3 linked regions of the Xenopus tropicalis genome follow. The protein of the gene in region 1 purifies or fractionates together with the protein of each later gene. This does not show direct contact. Links are inferred from orthologs where the notes say so. Each region holds a gene or a part of one and is shown on either strand. Other genes may lie near its edges.

Region 1 (3,498 bases):
TACCTGTGTATATAGCATCTGCATACAAAGTAACAACTGTTTAATTGATCTAGTGTTGAAAAGATGGCCTTACACGGCAGATTACAGCCCAGATTGGCAGCTATCTGCCTGTGTATGGGGACCCCCGATGGGCCTACCTGACTGATATCTGGCAGGTTCTTATTCCCATCCTATTCCCCTCAAGCCAAATGATTGGTTTACTCTGATATCGCCCACCTTAGATGTGCATATTGGCGTAACGATCTGCTCATTTGCTGAGGTATAGTGTATGGCCACTTTAAATGCTCCTGGACATCAATGATTAATTAAGTGCAATCCAAACAAAAATAATTATGGTGGCACTAGTTTTAATCATACTGTTTCTGCATTATACACAGTAAAAAGGGACATGAATGGCAAATACTATGTCTCCACTGCATTTACTAATTTGAAGGGTTAGTAGGATATTTGATTCTAGAGAAGAGTAGATTTTTCCTACCTTTTCTGGAAAGAAACTGCAAACAAAAGTTATTACATAAGTCAAACAATTTTATTTATAAAAGTGTATATTATCCACACATACAAAAAAAATACAATAACCAGCTGGCTCTACATGACTGCTCCCTACAAAAATGTCAGAACAAAAAGGATAGCTCTTCCTTCCATAGATTTGGCTCATTCAATTCCTTCTTGCTTGTCTTTAATAGCCACCTGTAAACAGATATAAATATTATATATAATAGCATATAAGTATTACTTGTGAATTCAGGTTTACATTCATATATCAGGAAGCAACAATTCTTTATTATATATAGTGCTTACCAGTAGTTTAAATAATATATCCTCATTGCAAATAAGTTTGTATGGTAGTGTGAGCATTATGGGACTTAATATGAAATCATAAGAATATTGATATTCAGTGACCATTTGTCACAAAATTAAGTGTGGTGTACCAAGGTCCTTGAGAATACTATATGCTCAATTTAATCATGCTAAACTAATCCACAAAGCACCTTCCAATATTTATGTTAGAAAAACATAATAAAGAAGTGATGTGGACGGACACGTAAAGGGGTTGTTCACCTTTGAGTTGACTTTTAGTATGATATAAAGAGTACTATTATAAGACAATTTGCAATTGGTCTTTTTTTTCCTCTATTTGTTTTTTTTTAATGATTTCACTTTGTTCAGAAGCTCTCCAGTTTGGAATATTAGCAGCTCTCTGGTTGATATGGTCCAAATTACCTTAGCAACCAGGGAGTGGTTTGAATAAGAGACTGGAATATAAATAGTGGAGGGCGTGAATAGAAAGATAAGTAATAAAAAGTAATAATAACAATAAAATTGTAGCCTCACAGAGCAACAGTTTCTTGTCTGCCTGGGTCAGTGACCCCATTTTAAAGCCAGAAATAGTCAAGAAGGCAGCACATAATTAAGAAACTATAAAGAATGAATAATGAAGTCCAATTGAAAAAGTGTTTAGAATTGACCATTCTGTAAGATTCTAAAAGTTAATTTAAAGGTGACCAACCCCTTTAACCATTATTAGAGAGGACATTTTTTTCTAGGATCCACTTTTAAGCATGATAAAAAGACATATATATCCTATGACAGTTGCAGTGGGTCTTTACTGCTGTAGTGTTTTAGTAGGTTGGCCTTCTGTTCTGCATTCTCCTAACTTGAAATTTAAATGTAGTCAAAAACAGGTATGATCTGGGATTTAAAATAGGCCCAGGCATTTCAAGTACACAGATGCCTAAACAGCCCCCACCAGCCCAATAAATAGTGACTGTCTATGGCATCTTACAGCAGCCTCTCTGGCATTTGCCAGAATCTACAGATTGCTAGTCCGGGCCTGGTCAGAAAGCAGTCTGACCCCTATGTATACTTGGGTATAATCAAAATAAATAGGATATCAAAATCAGTTGCATTCAGTCTATTAAGCCCTTTTGCAATTTACATTAATCTTACATTACTTTACAGTTGTGTAAAATTTCAGAAGGAAACTGAAAACTGTTTTGATGTTGCTCTGTTTAGGAAAGGGGTGAGAAAGCTATTCCTATCCCTTTCCTGAGCAGAGCAATATCAGAAGAGTTCACTGTTTTTCTTCTGAAAACTGACTAGTAAGTGAAAATGTGTTGCAAAATGAATAATAGCAGTTTAAAAACAGCTTAAAGGGATTCTGTCATGATTTTTATGGTTTACTTTTTATTGCTAAATTACACTGTTTACATAGCAAATAATTCACTCTGCCATTCTTGAATCATCAAAAGTATTTTTTTAGCTGTAATATTGGTGGGTAGGCAGCCATTTCAATGCATTGTGCCTGGGTGTGAGCTTCCAGAAGGAGCCAGCGCTACACATTTGGGTGAAGACACACGGAGCTACTAGTTGCAGCTGATCATTAACTGATAACTGTCTCTTCGTGTGTTTTAGCTGAGGCAATTCTCAGTATTGCCTATGGCAGGGTATTTTTTGGAGCCTAGTAGCCATTAAGAAGTTGCTGCTGCTAGTAGCTCTGTGTTACATGGGAGTAGAAGAAACAATACATCTGAAAGCAGTTCGGGCCGTGACACACGGGGAGATTAGTCCCGCCGCAACAAATCTCCGTTGTCACGGGCGACTAATCTCCCCGCAATGCCATCCCACCGGCAGGACTAATCTCCCTGTGTGTCACAGCCCTTAGAACTGCTTTCAGATACTGTATATTGTTTCTCCTACTACCATGTAACTGGAGGATTCCTAGCAGGACTCTGATTTCTTACTATTGAGTGCTATTCTGATATCTACTGGGAGCTGCTATCTTGCTAACTTCCCATTGTTCTGCTGATCGGCTGCTGGGAGGGGGGTGATATCACTCCAACTTGCAGCTCAGCAGTAAAGTGTGACGGAAGTTTATCAGAGCACAGGTCACATGGTTGTGTCACTCTGGGAAATGCAGAATATGGCTAGCCCCATGTGAAATTTCAAAATTAAAAATAAATTCTGTTTCTGTTTTTGAAAAACGGATTTCAATGCAGGGTTCTGCTGGAGAAGCTCTACTGATGTGTTCTGAAAGAAAAAGAACAAACAAACATGTTTTCCCATGACAATATTATTTTAATAAATTGGAAAAGGAAAATAATATTGTAAATTGGAAAAGTGTTTAGAAGGACCCAGAGCAATTTACATTCATTTTTTAAGGTTTACATATTCTATAAGTTGTTTGTTAAATAAATTAAAAGCAGTAGTCTTTTATGCCTTCCTGTGCTCTGCACTCACACCTGTTTTTTTTTCCCCCCATTTTTTATATACTTGAATGCATATATCTTGTAACAGAATTAAATGCTTAGCATTTTGTTCAAACATTTTGGGAAAAAATTTGGGGTTTTTTGAAAGCATAAACAGGAAAAATGGATTTTATACATACCCGAAATCTTTCCTCTAAAAGGGACAGCTCACTTATCAAGTCTGTGATTGCATTGGTAAATGCCTCTTGGGGGCTGTAGTCTGGTGTTGTCTGAACTCTTATGATAATTT
Region 2 (4,234 bases), on another chromosome or scaffold:
GGGCTGCTGTCAGTCACCTTTTGCTTAGGGACTGATTCACAATGCACAGTATATTGTGAATTCTAGTTTGTTAATATAAAGCATATTTGTAATTAATTATATTCACAATAAATGTCACTATAGAAACCAATGTGTTCTGCATTGAGAAATGGTTATTAATCAGCTACTATGACCTACATTTCTGTGCAGCACAAATGTGGATTTCTGTGCAGGATTCTGCTGGAGAAGCTCTATTAATGGATGTGTTTTTTGGGAGAAAAAAAAAAAACATGACAATATTCCTTTAGTCCTCCTTTAAGGCTCACTACAAATTACTTTTTACATGTATTCTGGATTTCTTTCTAGATTATGCATTTGTCTCCACTCCTGTGGGTCCATGCTTTTAGGGCAAAATTAGATAACTATATTGATGGGCAATGGGACACATAATACTGTACCAGAAGACAAATGCATGTACAGAAAAAGTGGGCATAAATTTTAAAGGCAAAAACATATATGTGCCATTTGACATTTGTCATAACTACATAAATGACTTATTCGATACACATACAGTGACAAATGCACTAAAAACAAAAAAAGTCTGTGCAACAGTGCACAGTGTGATACACAGTGAGAAATCAGAAAATTTCTAATTCTGCTTTGTAATATCGTAATAGGATTATTAGCCCTAACTCTACAGATGATGCAATACAAGCAAAAATTACTAGTTATACCAATATGTTAGCCCATAGGAACCCAAATAAGGGCTTTGGTATTCTACATCCAGTAAACTGATTCAATGAGCGAACTGATCAACAGCAACGTTTTACTGAACCAATGCACACTTGCCCTATGTCAGTAAATAAACCCCAGCCTGTGTTCTTGTGTTACCAGAGGGTAAGAAGACTTGAGAATCGGAATCATCCAAAACTCCTTCTTAAAATACCTCAGTCTATACTTTGTACTTAGAGATTTAAAGCTCTTAGCTTCTAATCAGAAGCTTGGAAGAATGTCATATTCAGCATTATATAAGCTTATAATTCTTTGCAAATTAACCCTTTTGTCTTGCTGCACTGCATGTGCACCAGTACAAAATATGCTCAGTCATTGTGCTTACAGCCCACCAAATTTACAATATGTTAAAAATATGCAAAACTTGCTCACTCCTTCCATTAGGAACACTATGCTCACATCCTTCCTAGGCTAGCTCTTCAGTTTTCTAATTGTAGGCAAAGGATTCAGGTACAAGCTTTCAGCATGGATTATTAAAGGGATAACAATACGGGTGAAGATACAAGGAGCTATTAGTAGCAGCTACAAAAATAGACAGTGCTGATCATTTACTGATAATTGTCTCTACGTGTGTGTTAGAAGAGGCAATTCTCAGTATTATCTATGGTATGGTATTTTCTGGAGTTTAGTAGCCATTACAAGTAGCTGCTACTAAGTAGCTCCATGTGTCTTCACCCTTACACAGCTTCAATGAACACTGTAGAGTCCAAGATAACTATATTATTGCCTCTTTGCTCTCAACTACGATTCCAGTAATACTAGTAAGTGAACTGCTAAGCAGAGGAACTGACCTGGTTAGGATGAGAAGAGGTAAAAGGAGCCAAATTGTCCTTTACATTGCAAGACATGAAGTGTGAGGCCTTCTGAGAACAGAAGGTATTTACATGCCTCATGCCATACCAATAGCACTGCCTATGACATTTAGACTGTTCCTGCTACAAGAGGTACTCTGGTGTTTGCATTAATAGCTGGCACAGCATTACTGCTCAAAAAAGGTGCAAGTCCTGCCACTTTTAAGACAACTGCAATTTTATAAGATAACAAGCTTTATTTACTGAATTGTTGTCAATTTTATGCCCAATGTAACTTTTATTTCTTATGGAGCACAACACTGAATTTGAGTCAACTCAAAGGTCACAGTGGTACATTATGCTTAGCAAAGTCAACCGGCTGAGTTAGATCATGGCTGTGCATACTGTAGCCCTCCTGTTAAAAAGATGCTGGAAGCGTCTCACTGCCTGACCCTAACTTATAAACAGGGTACCTGTCAAATGTGCACAGACATGACAGAGTACTGTGTTCCCTATGGGATTAAGCATTTACACCTTAACATTTTCAGATTTTATGGCAGCGCCAATGGTAATACTAAGCTGCATATTCTGGTGCAAGTGGAACTTATATAACTTTCAGTAGCTGTACATCCTGCTCAATAACATACATCCTCCTTTATTTGTTTTGCTTCTCAGTTTCCTGTGCTACCTTCCTGATGGCCAATGCTCAGCCCTGTGTCATAATGGCCCTGTGTCATAATGCCCAAATATAGTCCATTTTGTACAAAACAATGGGCTCCGACTAGTCTAAAAGTTACAGTGATAAAAAGCAAATGAGTGATGTGCTGCTAAGTGGTTTATTCCAACTGTGTGCTCTTCTCTTTGCTGGGGAACAAGCCCATACTGTCTATATTAACCATGGTACAGGCTGCCCTAAGCCCGCTGGGCGCACTTGTACCCTAGTGCATAAGCGCTCTGCCCTGGCTGGCTTATGCTCTGCCACATTCACATGTGTAACATGGCACTCGTCCTCTGTTTACCTTTCCATGCTCTTCCTGAAGTCTGGCCACATCACTGGAGCTCAGCAGTTTCGTACCCTCCCTTATCTCTTCCATGCTTTCCGTCCGTCGCAAACCCCTTTGCCCCGGAACTCGGGAACCGACCGTGGTCCCACCTTCTCGGGCCCCGACTCTGAGAGTCCCACTCGCATGAGCCACTCAGGCACGGAAGGAAATTCACCTCAAACTCTCGCGAGCATGAGACCTGGGAAATCTCGTAACTAGGAAGCAAATGCACGTGGGGACTGTACGTTTCCAAGGAGGAAAGCTTTCATCAGCCTGACTCTGCTACTGTGTTACTGTGATACTGTTTTACTGTGTTACTGTGATACTGTGTTACTGTGTTACTGTGTTACTGTGATACTGTTTTACTGTGTTACTGTGATACTGTGATACTGTGATACTGTGTTACTGTGTTACTGTGTTACTGTGTTACTGTGATACTGTGTTACTGTGCTACTGTGTTACTGTGCTACTGTGTTACTGTGATACTGTGTTACTGTGTTACTGTGTTACTGTGATACTGTGATACTGTGTTACTGTGTTACTGTGATACTGTGATGATACTGTGTTACTGTGTTACTGTGTTACTGTGATACTGTGATACTGTGTTACTGTGTTACTGTGCTACTGTGCTACTGTGTTACTGTGTTACTGTGCTACTGTGCTACTGTGCTACTGTGCTACTGTGTTACTGTGTTACTGTGTTACTGTGATACTGTGTTACTGTGATACTGTGATACTGTGTTACTGTGATACTGTGCTACTGTGATGATACTGTGCTACTGTGCTACTGTGTTTCTGTGCTACTGTGATACTGTGCTACTGTGCTACTGTGCTACTGTGTTACTGTGATACTGTGATACTGTACTACTGTCTGTGTTACTGTGCTACTGTGTTACTGTACTACTGTCTGTGTTAAACTGTGCTACTCTCGTACTGTGTTTCTGTGCTACTGTATTACTGTGATACTGTGTTAGCACCTGCTGCGTGTGTCACGTCTGCAACTGTTAACTTCACTCCCACATTCCCACATGTAAATGTCAGTACATACTCTGTATTCTTACTGGATCATTAGCATGCTCAGCTGCAGTCTACAGTGCGTTGAGCCAATCACCAATGCTATTTGGGATGTTCAGATGTTCCTCGTGTTATTAACATTTAGTAAATTATAGCTGGACCTCTATTAAGTAACCTTTTAATTAGACTTATTTTTTGTGTATTTGTTTTATATTTAGCATTCAATATTTTTCATCTTTCCAGTCAAAAAATCATTTGGCCTTTATGGCGCTTTTGACCCCAAGCATCTCAAAACAGATCAACAGATTCATTGTATTATGATTTTTATAATTTATTAATTTTTTAGGTCCACTATTATTGATCTATTCTGTCTTCTAATCTGTTGCCTAGTTGCTTGGGTATATAACCTCTAGCAACCAGATAGCAGTTAGTATTCCGAGCCTGAGAGTTGCAAAGCAAAAAATTTAAATATTTCAGAAAGCATAAAAAATAAAGGCTAATAGCAAATTGTCTTAGAATACTGATATCTACATCAGTTTATTTCAAGGTAATGAATAAAACTATAGGCTGGCTCTCTGTGGTTGCAAAAGTGGCATATTGCATTGCCATGTAATA
Region 3 (4,157 bases), on another chromosome or scaffold:
CCAAACGATCGAATTAAAATGGCAGAAAAGTCTGTCCGGGGACCGCATCAACAAGCCAATGCGGTCCCCGATCCAACTAGATTTTCTAACCTGCCCGATCGAGATCTGCCCGATTTCAGGCCAGATATCGGCCGGGCAGGCCCATTGGGAGTGCCCATACATGGCCCGATTAGCTGCCGAATCGCTCCAAGGGACCGATATCGGCAGCTACCTTAAGAAAGGTTGGGGACCCCTGCTCAAGATTCACAAAACGCTTCCTTTATTCTTGTGCGTTTACTGTCACAGTATTCCTTTCTTGGCCTTATAATTTACAGCCTACAGCTACTACAATGCATACCTCTCTGCAAACAACAGAAACTTAACTGTGGTGCACAGAGATGATGAAGGTGAGGGGACCTAAGATTCAGGATATGTGGAAAGGCCTAAATCAGGGGTGGCCAGACTTTTTGACTGGGGAATGCGTAAGTGCGTACATACGCATTCACGCAGCACTTCCGCATCTCTGGCTTTGTCGCAGTCCACCAGAAATCCAGGGGGGATCGACCGGTGGACCGCAATCGACATATTGGCAACCCCTGGCCTAAATGAACGCTGGGATGACAAGTGCTACAGAAGAGACACACCTACTTTCAGATTCTGAAAATGCCTGGTTTGAAAAACAATTAGAAATGAGAAATAAGTGTTTTACATTAAAAATTAATGCAGTTTGGTACAGGTGATTTTGTATTTATTTGAATTATAACAGTGAGAAAGATGGAAGGGTTTATAGCTCATGACAGTTCTCTTTTAAGTGTTATGGGGGGCATTATACATGAACTTGGTATTGCACTTATATACAGGTAGGGGATTCCTTATCCGGAAATTTCCAATTACATAAAGGCCATCTCCCATAGACTCCATTATAAGCAATTTGTTTTTAAATTATTTCCTTTTTCTCTGTAATAATAAAACAGTACTTGTACTTGATCCCAACTAAGTTAGAATTAATCCTTATTGGAGGCAAAACAATCCTATTGGGTTTATTCAATATTAAAGGATTTTTAGCAGACTTAAGTTATGGAGATCCAAATTACAAAAAGATCCCTTATCCAGACAACACCAGGTCTCAAGCATTCTGGATAACAGGTCCCATGAAGGAAGCACTGCATTTAGTTATTGCTTTGTGTATTAGCAGGCAATAAAACCAGAGTTTGTTTGCGGTCAAAGTGTATTATAACAGTGGGTGTGGCTTATAATTCTGGGCAGTAGTGATGTATGGGCCGGCCCAATACCTGCGGGTCAGCCGGGTTCAAGCTGACCTAGGCACATAATCTGCGGGTTCGGGCCGAGCTTTTCCGCTCGCAACCTTACACTGCCAGCAGCTCTCTTCAGGCTTCTCTATTTATAGGCGCGCTCCCAGAAGGCCTGCCTCTTTTGTGACATCATTGTGGGGCAGGCACGGGTCTCTAAATAGAGCAGGGGTCGGGAACCTTTTTGGCTGAGAGAGCCATAAACACCACATATTTTAAAATGTAATTCTGTGAGAGCCATACAATATGTTTGGCCGCGGATCCTGTGGGTCAAGGTAAGGTGGGTCCCAAGGATGCCTGATGCGGATCCGATGCAGAGGAGGGCGTGGCCTGCGCTCGGTGGATAGAAGACGTGTTCTAAGGTTTAGAACACGTCTTCTATCCACCGAGCACAGTCCACGCCCCCCATTATTTTTTTTATTAAAGATTTGGCAGCGAGCCAGATGCAGCCATCAAAAGAGCCACATCTGGCTCCCGAGCCATAGGTTCCCTACCCCTGAAATAGAGGAAGGAAGCTGGGTCTGGCTCCACTTTTTTCCACTTTAATTTAAGCACTTAATGTAAGTTCAAGTCATCATATTTGACACCAAATACACATATTTAGAAAAAGAAAGACAAATAATAATAAGTTTACCACACAAAAGGTGTAGTAATAAGCAACTCTTTGAGATGGTTTTTGAATCACATTGGATAACGCTAGCAGAAAAGGGCAGGATCCAAATGAAATGGCAGGTAAAAAACCCAGTGGACCCAGCCAACCCAGAAACAATGCACTGGCGCTCCCCCAATTGGCACTCCCTGGGGTGCCAGTTTGAGTGCCAACCCAATAGGTCTGGCACAGCCCAGTCCGATGTTGGAAAAGGGTATCTACAAAAATGCTATTAATAATTAAAATGTTTCCTCTTCTAATGACTAAATGTAAATCCCTTGTAGATGCTTAAAATAGACTGACATACAAAAAAAAAGAAGATTCAAGATTCTTAGTAAAATCGTGTTGCGTTTACCAGCCCAGACATGGATTTAGCCATCAGAAGGCAAAACAACATGTCAGCAAGACCACAGACACCATTCTCCTGATGCTCCAGCAAGACAAGGCCCAGCGGTTCAGATTTTGCCACATAGCAGACATTTAGCACACGTTTAGTACGGGTCCTATGCACCCATGCTTGTTAACACTCACCTGGAAGTTCACCAAGAATATAGAAGGGCCCCGCTGCAGGTCTTCGGGAGCTATCCTCTCCAGAAGAACTAGAAGAAAGTGGCGGAGGGATCGGCAGCGGAGGACCAGGTACTGTTGGAGTTGAAGTCTGTGTCTTTCCTGACACAAACGCACCAGTACATGTTGGAACAACAGAGGGGGGCCCTGGAGCAGAAGGGATAGATGAGGGCTCAGAAGCTGCAAATAGACCAGAAAATCCCTCCATTACTTTGCAACTGAAACCAACCACATCAGCCCTTCTACTATTCAACCAATGAACCTAAACCTTATGTTAAGCCCCTCCTAAACGTTTAAGCGTCATTGAAGAGACGAATATGAACGTCACTTCCACATACCAGCCTATCGCATGTGCTGTTTGTGCTTGCTTGCTATCAATTGGTTAAACGCCTGACACTACTCCTTCTGGATTAGCTGTTGTCTATTTCCGGATTTACGTCCTACTGTGCTGATCTTTATTGGCTGTTTTTTTGTTGGGTTGGACCTCACTCTTTTTAGCAGTTCGATATAGTTAATGTAATTGGATGAGTCTCCTTCCCAGATAATCAGCGTTACTTGTGGCAATGGCTGTGCTTGCACCCCTTCTCGCGTTTTTATATGCAGTTCCTGGGCTTTTGCGCTGGGTATCGCAGCCCTATTACCTTCTTTCTGCGTTATTGTCTGTATCTTTTCTTCTGGTTAGAAAGGTACCCCCGGTGTGTAGCGTCTTACCAACACAGCGTGAGGACGGAAATCCATGCGACTTTGATTGGGTATGTACTTTCAAGGTGACTCTTACATTGAATGGTTTAATGCATCGAAAACTGTTATATCATGAATTTCCATGTTTCTTCAGATTTGTTCTATTATAATTATCATGCCTGAAATGCTGAGAATGATGGCTTTTTATTAGTGGTATTTTACGTACATTCTGATTGAAAAGTGATTTATTGCTGAATTTTGATGTATTTGGTTTGTACATTTAAGGGTCAGATATGATTGATCTACTTAATTGTTTGATAGGCCGAAAAAGCTGATAAAACCTTACGTAAGTGTTTCGTTTTTCATCCTTTGAACTCTGCGTATAGTCCTCTAAAATGTATTTAATTAGGACCCTGAGATGTAGAGGCGGACAAGCATAATGGCTGAGGTTATAGCCCCTAACTGGATGACTGTTTATGGCTAACATTTGAAAGCCTAGTATAACACTAGTAAACACTTTTTTTTTTTTTTTTTTACCAATAATAAGTTAATCTCCATGCAGTATGGTTTGCAGGTTAATAAATCTATGTTTCAAGTAGGGGCTGATACCTCATTGCAGGGTCATAGATAAAGACATATATATCTTGTATTTATTTACAAATGCACAATAGAAACACTTGGCATGGATCAATTCTTCGCCTTCCTGTTAATAGAACGTGCACATTGAGTACCTAATGGACCCCTACTACCCGGAGCAAACCTGCAATCTCTGATCAGGAGATTATTAAACTACAGGGGTCGAGGGGTGTTGGGGTCTTTTTTGGGACTTAGTTTTGTTTTTTCCCATTTTTTTTCCCCTTCATACCTTGCAACGGACCTACAACTCTTGCCACAGCCAAGTTTATTTATTTACAAGGTCCTTTTCCATTATGGTTTGCCTAGTGCAGTACTATTAAAGGTATAAGTGGCTT

Evidence for each region. The genes of interacting proteins can lie anywhere in the genome.
Region 2: the proteins of polr2j (region 1) and uri1 purify together in Homo sapiens (affinity purification with mass spectrometry; 4 studies listed by BioGRID and IntAct, with this or other methods). This does not show direct contact. The link is inferred for Xenopus tropicalis from reciprocal best matches to the Homo sapiens genes POLR2J and URI1.
Region 3: the proteins of polr2j (region 1) and med19 purify together in Homo sapiens (affinity purification with mass spectrometry; 3 studies listed by BioGRID and IntAct, with this or other methods). This does not show direct contact. The link is inferred for Xenopus tropicalis from reciprocal best matches to the Homo sapiens genes POLR2J and MED19.

What each region holds. Positions count from the first base shown.
Region 1 is NC_030678.2:94,648,874-94,652,371, forward strand, and holds the end of polr2j (DNA-directed RNA polymerase II subunit RPB11-a), read right to left. Parts: coding exon 3,389-3,498; intron 691-3,388; coding exon 655-690; 3' UTR 511-654; downstream 1-510. UniProt on the Homo sapiens protein: Core component of RNA polymerase II (Pol II), a DNA-dependent RNA polymerase which synthesizes mRNA precursors and many functional non-coding RNAs using the four ribonucleoside triphosphates as substrates.
Region 2 is NC_030680.2:71,279,342-71,283,575, forward strand, and holds the start of uri1 (unconventional prefoldin RPB5 interactor 1), read right to left. Parts: upstream 2,801-4,234; 5' UTR 2,657-2,800; coding exon 2,582-2,656; intron 1-2,581. UniProt on the Homo sapiens protein: Involved in gene transcription regulation. Acts as a transcriptional repressor in concert with the corepressor UXT to regulate androgen receptor (AR) transcription.
Region 3 is NC_030683.2:55,852,957-55,857,113, reverse strand, and holds the start of med19 (mediator of RNA polymerase II transcription subunit 19), read right to left. Parts: upstream 2,801-4,157; 5' UTR 2,714-2,800; coding exon 2,470-2,713; intron 1-2,469. Other genes in the region: tmx2 (thioredoxin-related transmembrane protein 2 precursor), read left to right, coding at 3,069-3,257. UniProt on the Homo sapiens protein: Component of the Mediator complex, a coactivator involved in the regulated transcription of nearly all RNA polymerase II-dependent genes.